2 linked regions of the Tribolium castaneum genome follow. The protein of the gene in region 2 interacts with the protein of the main gene of each other region in a pairwise test. Links are inferred from orthologs where the notes say so. Each region holds a gene or a part of one and is shown on either strand. Other genes may lie near its edges. The genes, in order: Fnta and betaggt-I.

Evidence for each region.
Region 1: the proteins of betaggt-I (region 2) and Fnta interact in binary tests that used the Homo sapiens proteins (3 or more experiments, as listed by UniProt). The link is inferred for Tribolium castaneum from reciprocal best matches to the Homo sapiens genes PGGT1B and FNTA.

Annotation. Positions count from the first base shown.
Region 1 is NC_087397.1:1,731,098-1,734,702, reverse strand, and holds Fnta (protein farnesyltransferase/geranylgeranyltransferase type-1 subunit alpha), read right to left. Parts: upstream 2,303-3,605; 5' UTR 2,224-2,302; coding exon 2,088-2,223; intron 2,042-2,087; coding exon 1,918-2,041; intron 1,870-1,917; coding exon 1,636-1,869; intron 1,590-1,635; coding exon 1,389-1,589; intron 1,338-1,388; coding exon 1,037-1,337; 3' UTR 784-1,036; downstream 1-783. Other genes in the region: glycerophosphodiester phosphodiesterase 1, read left to right, coding at 179-335; Kv channel-interacting protein 1, read right to left, coding at 3,570-3,605. UniProt on the Homo sapiens protein: Essential subunit of both the farnesyltransferase and the geranylgeranyltransferase complex.
Region 2 is NC_087397.1:10,032,992-10,036,238, forward strand, and holds the end of betaggt-I (geranylgeranyl transferase type-1 subunit beta), read right to left. Parts: intron 1,353-3,247; coding exon 876-1,352; 3' UTR 835-875; downstream 1-834. UniProt on the Homo sapiens protein: Catalyzes the transfer of a geranyl-geranyl moiety from geranyl-geranyl pyrophosphate to a cysteine at the fourth position from the C-terminus of proteins having the C-terminal sequence Cys-aliphatic-aliphatic-X.

The sequences.
Region 1 (3,605 bases), about 8.3 Mb from region 2:
TTTTTCTCATAATACGTATGTCCTGTGAAAATATTTGGTTTTTCACGGCTTATTAACTCAAAACTTAGCAATTTGAGTCAAAAAACCCCCTAATTTTGGTCTTCCGTACGCGTCAAGTTGCAAAAATTCGAATGGAAAAATGCAACTTGGACGGTTTTTAGAATTGAATTATTTTTAGACGTACGGTCTACGATTGGCGCAAAAGGGGATTGAGGGTGATGGCTTGGACGGTAAATACGCCGGCTGAAAAGCAATTTCTTGCACGTGTGCTTAAAATTACTTATCTTACTGATACTTTAACGGGTGAAGGGACTACACATACTCCTCCTTTGTAAATAAAAAGTGACATAATTTGGTGGTTTTTGGATGTATGGGCAGCAGCGGGGTTTAGGCTAATTATAAGGGCAGCAATTTCCGCATTTTTACAATTTTAGCCAAAAACATGATCTCGTTTTTTCTGTGGTTTAAAAAATGATTTTTTTATTCGCAAGCGGATTTTAATGATTAAAATTAACTGATTTTATTGTGTCATAATTTTGAGCGTCTGAAGGAGTTCAAGCATGTTTCCTTATGCCATATACAAATATATTATTTTGTATTTAGGTAAAGTAAATAAAATTATATCTATGAATTGTTACAATTTAAATCAACTTAATCAGCTCCTGTCCATTTCCCAATCTTCCGTCACAAAGCCAATTTTTTCTTTCTACTTTCATTGAAAAATTGGAAGAAAAAAGGACGTAACGTATGCCAAGGACAAGTGTATTTAAAATAAAACGTAAAGTGGTTTTATTCATTTATTTAACAATTACTGGCTTTCGAAAATGTGCAATGGAATAAATTGCCTTGTAATAAAAATACGTACAAAAAGATTAACATTTGCGACGTTTTAATTAAAGAAAAAACATTACATCGTTAGAAAGAGGACGTTCACGGTGGCATATTTCGCTTTAGAAAGAAATACAACGATGGAAAACACTTAAGACACATACAAAAATAAGTAAACATCACAGAAATTTTTTCATCGACTTTATTTTTAATTTTCTGCTTCGACTTGTGACTCCTCCTTCTTGCTTTTCTTCTCAATGGTTTCGGCCATAAACTGCCAATATTTCGCTCTGACGGTGTCATATTTTTCGGAAAGTTCGTTACACAAATTTTTGGCTCTTTCCAAATTGTAAAGTGGGTCTTCATTGCCTTGGGAAACTTGCTCTGAACACATATCAACAAGGAGGGCTAATAAAAATGGAGACCTGTTTCCCGAGTTGTATAATTCCTCACAAAATTCAGTGACTTTTTTGTTGCGGCTAAGGCCACACTTATCATGCAATAACACGCTAAGAAGGAAAAATTAATACAATTGCGTTTACTGGAAACGTTAGAAATACCCTCTTAAGTAATTCCAAGCGCTTTCGTTCTCTGTTACGACTTTAATATTGGACAGAGCGTAGTCAATTTCTCTATTTAAGACTTCTTCTGTAAACCCGGTTGTGCCCATAACTACGAAATATCTTTGATTCCAAGCTGAGTTGTTCCTGATATCGTCCGAAATGAGACTATCAATGTACTCAAGCTCTCCATCATACAAACTATTAAAAAATAATTACGGTTACACAAAAAAGTAAATTAACGTACTTGAACGTTTTAATTATCCACTGCCTGTGTTGCCAGGCGTGGTAATTTTTCGCATCTTTCGCTAAAACGGTCTCAGTCAAGTACTTCTCCTTTGCTGCATCTTGCAGCCACTCCACTAGCACCTTCCTGTGGTGCCAAACCTGGTAATTTTTCGGCTGATTATAAACAATAATCTTCTCAATAAAGTCCATCTCCTCGTTCAAATCCTTATTCAAAGCTTTCAAAATTTCACGCCTCAAATTCGAAAATGACCCAAAAAATCGCCCAATAAATTACAGTTACCTGTACTGCCAAACTGTATAATTCGCCGGATTTAGGGCCGCAGCGTCCTTGGTAAGGTTCAGGGCCCGTTCCGATTTCTCCCCGCTTTGCAAAACAGCTCGGAAATAATCAAAAACATCCTTAACTGAAAGTTTTTGTAGTTACAAAGTTGAGGTGTGCACTAAACTTACACTGTTCAGTGTAATCGATTGCGACTATTGGCTGATCCCCGTCATCCTGGGGCACCGGGGTCACATCTTTCCATTCCCGGCGGTCTTTGTACAGCTGGAATGTGGTATCACTCTCGTCACTGCTACTTTCACCCATTTTTTCAATCAAAAAGTCGCCCCTTTTTTACCTAACCACAAAATTCGGATTGTCAATAGTTTGACGCAGGGCTCTTTGCTATGGGCCGAGTGGGCGTGCGTCCGAAAAATACAGTCGGCCAGTTGGGTGTATAATTGGTTGCGGGGTAAAAAAATATGCGAGTAGGGTTTGTAATATGTTTATAACATTAAAAATGAGTACATAATAGATCTCCTGACTTGTCTTATTTACAAATAACAATGAGTTATTTAGATGGGTAACATTAAAATGGGCCTTAGACTACTCTATACAGATATAAACAGTGATTAGGATGAGGATTAGGAATATGCGTGGATTATCTCGACCATATTTTGGTAACAGTAAGCCTTACTACAAATAAACGTAATCTGCGCCTTGCAGCTTTTTTTGTAACGTTCGTATTTGGCACAGCTCTAATTTTTACCCATTAAACATATACAGAAATGATAAACATTAACAACATATAGAAGAACATTATCCTTATCAACTTGGTACATAGCACCATAGACGCTCCATTATAAAATAACTGTCGTAATAAAAAAGCTACATAATTTAGGTATCTTAGGTTTTTCTAACCAAAATATTGTCAATCTTTTGACTAACATACATCACACATTTAGATCCTAGTACATTGAACAGTCTTACATATATCAACAATAATATAATCTAGACTTTATATAGTGACATACAGATATGTCTAACGAATATGGCTCACTAGTAATGATATCGTCGCTTTATTTATATCGCTAAGACGTTTCCCGAATAATACCCGAATTTTGGGGAAACTTTTAAAAGCTTTATACCCAATTCCACAATTTTGTTGGACAATATAAAAATATCTACTTTAGGGTAACAAAAATTCTAAACCATTGGTGAAACGGTTGAGTAATCTTATTACAAATCAAGCGACTTTTAGCAGAATAAATAAACCGCATTAGCAGCAATTTTTTTTGGTAATTAATGCAAAAATGCGATAGGTACATTTGCTTAAATAATATTTGTTATTTATCTATGCTATATTTATCTGATGTTTAGTTTCTATATATTTAAAATATATTATTTTATCTACATCCTCTTTTATAAAAACTGTAAGAAATTTGGTATAAATGTACAAACTTACGGTGTCAAACGAACCGCAAAGCCAGCGAACCCCGAGATGAGTTATCGTTCCGGTAATTCGTCCCACACCGCAGCTTGTTGGCTTTTCATAAATCGTTTTGTTATTAATTTATCACTGTTTTAAATAATTTAATTACGTTGGTCATTGTATCGCGGTCGGCATTCGTTCATGTCCAGGAGGGCGGTGGACGAACGCCGACTGGTGAACGTCATATCGATGAATCGAAAACAGCCATGGAAGAAGA
Region 2 (3,247 bases):
TTAAGAATGTTACCGAGTTATGTAATGCGTTGTCTTGGCGAAACCTATCTTTTTTAAGCCATTCGACTTTAAATAAATAATGTGCAAAGACAAGCAATAAATTAAATTAAACGATACAACAAATCGAAATGCTTTTCGGGAGCATGTGGTCATTAAAAGTAAAAGCACTCATCCTTCCTATTGCGCCAGTTTTACGACAGTTGGCGTCTCCTTGGTCTGTTAAAAAGACGTTAATATCGCAAGTGGAAGGTGGCATTCGTAATTAAATGCGGAAGAGCGCAAACACTCGGCTGATTTGTTTAATTCAAGGAAATGCTACTCATACATGCCACGATTTTGCAAAATCAACATAAATAATTTATTAGAATTTTTTTTTGGATAAAATTCAAACCTTGACTATAAATTGGTGTGAATTTCTATACTGAGGAGTGGCTGATGATAGCCGCCTATGAATCATTCTCCACTCACTCGTAACACACAAAAAAATATAAAACAATTATTACAAATCAAAAAAATGTGCACTTTTGCGCCGACACATTATTGACTCCCCCGCAAAAAATAAAATAATTAGACCACTTACAAAATTAAAAGAGCCGATTAGCGGGAATGTTACAGTGCGTCCTGCTGATGTCAATACAAATCAATAAAATTTCGCTTATTTATGAATTTCAAAAGAAATGATTGTTTACAACACACTCACTGCCACTCGCTACTCACATCTGCTCTGCGCCCCTCTTTCACGGCAACTAGCTGCGGGGAAAATCGCCACAGAGAGCGCCACTGGCGGAGCTTCCAAAGCTCGGGTCAAGGTTATGCAACCAATAAAACAACCCGTAATGTAAATATTTATTTGTAAAAATCGTATTGTATAAGTCTCAACAGCCCCTCCATTTCCTATGCAAACTTAACAAATGTTCGTGCGCTCGTGTCGACATGTTCAAATCGGGGAAAACGCTGCTTATTCCAGTCTCATTCATAAAACTCAGGCCTGCGAGGCCCAGATACGTGTGCATGGCGTCGGGGGCCGTGTTGACCCATTTTGAAAAGCCCCCGTTACGGTCCTGCGTTACTAAAATGAACTGGTCGTTGTCCTTCTCTTCAATGAATTGATATGCGTTCAAAATTTTGAGGGCCCCTCCTGTCCAGAAGGAGTAGCACGTGTCCGAGGGCTTGTTGGGGCGGCCGGTGAAACCGTTCTCGAAACGGTTTAGTAACCAACGTTTCAGGCCCTCCAGCTGGGGGGGAGATAGTCTGTGCAATTGCTTGGTTAAGGCGAGGGTGGCTACGGCACAAAAAGTTGAGCCGCTGTGCGATTCCAGTTGGGGGCCTTGTGCGATGCCGAAGTCGTATGACTGTAAATGGTACTTTACTGACGAGGTGGGAAATGTTTTATTAGCCCGAGGGCAAAGGAATCGGGGTTAGATGGAGCCCGAGGGTTGTACCGGGTGACGTATTTGAAATTTTATTTTGGCAACCTTAACTATCAACTTCAGGCCTGAAGAATTTTTGTTTAAGGCCCGATTTCAAAAATTAAAAAAATAATGAAATGGGTTTTCACTCGGTATATTATTATTGTCAAGGGAGGACAATGAACTGAGAAAAATCAAATATTCCAAAAATTTTCAGTTCAAATTCCGTCCCTGACTGGCTATTTTATTCACAATCATATTTTGTTTAATAATAATAATTTAATAATTCAAGTGACGTGTACTCAAAGTAGCACACTCTAATTAAACTAATTACTATTGAAAGAGCAAATCTTTTACACTACAATTTTTTCAACTGAAATTCAGATTAGAAACATGTATTTTAGAAAAGATCAACAGCAACTCTGAGTAGCAAATTTAAATTACGAAAACATCACTTGTAATTCAGATCAGTGATCGTGATCACAGTATTTAAAAAAATGTAATAGATGATTTGAGAAAGCATTTTTCGTATGTACGAGAGGACTTCAAATATAAACCGGAAATAGTTAATAACTTTTTACTGAAATTTTTTTTAAGAAAATTCTTTAATTTTCTTTTCCACGAACTCTTCCTCTACCGCTATGCACAAACGCCATCCCTTTGGTAGTTCCATAATACCTGTTTTACAGAAGTTTTTGGGCCGAGTGCGTGAGCCGGTTATGCGCAAAATTTTGCCTCTGTAGGTGGTTAAAAAAAATAATGACAAGGTGACATCTTAAGACTATAAAGGGGCTATGGAGGTGTCTTTCAGTGCAATTTTTCCACGATCTTTGTGGACAAATGGGCTGATTACGATCGGGCTGAAAAATCCCGTCTTTTTGTTCGAGGGATAAATTTTTCAGATATCAATTAAAAATAGTAAAAGGGGCATTGATTTGGACGTTTGTCTTCCAAAAAATCCGTGTATATAACGCCCTGGATCTTTCAAAATAGAGACGCCATATTGTTTGCATCTGAAACCACAACTTTGGCCTTTAGTGGCTTTTTTTGAATTGGATTTTTTGGATTCTGGAGTGAAATGACGGATTCAAGTTTCTGATACGTAATATTAGATTGAAAAAATTTCTTTTAGTGTTTAAATTGCTCGATAGAACCTCTTGTACATAAGTGACTACGCACTAAGCCAAAAAACTTTTTTTTTTAAGGTATTATGAAACTATCAAAGGGATGGCGTATATGCATAGAGGTAGAGGAAGAGAACGTTGAAGAGTAGTTTAAAGAGTTTTTTTTATTTTGTCGTAGTCAAAAGTTATAAGAAAATTCTTGTTTTTTTTGGTATTTTGGAAAGAGTAAGATGTAAGAGTAATTTATTCTTATTCACCTTTTTCAGCTGTATGTAAGAAAAGATCAGATGTAATTCATTGTACCAAAAATTTAAGAGAACATCATACACTGAGGTTTTTAGTTTACTGAACATCACATAACACTATTAATTGTATCATACTATGTTTAGTTTTAAAAAATCCATGTCGATGCATTGCAAACAGTTATAAATAGAAATGCAAATGTTCATCAAAATAGAATCTTCCCTGTATGTAGGGATTTGTAAAATCAAAATGCAAATATTTTTCAATTTAAAATAAAGCTTTTAAGTAAAGAAACGCAATGATAATAATGAAGAACGTATAGTTGTGATTCTCTGTGGTATTTTTAAATTTTAAACCCAAAATCTAGCCCAAAATATTAATTGTTTTTATTTCTGAATTACAATTTACGCAACCCAAAAAAACCTGTGGAAAAACAACTTATGAATTTTACTTTTTGGCAAAAATAATCAA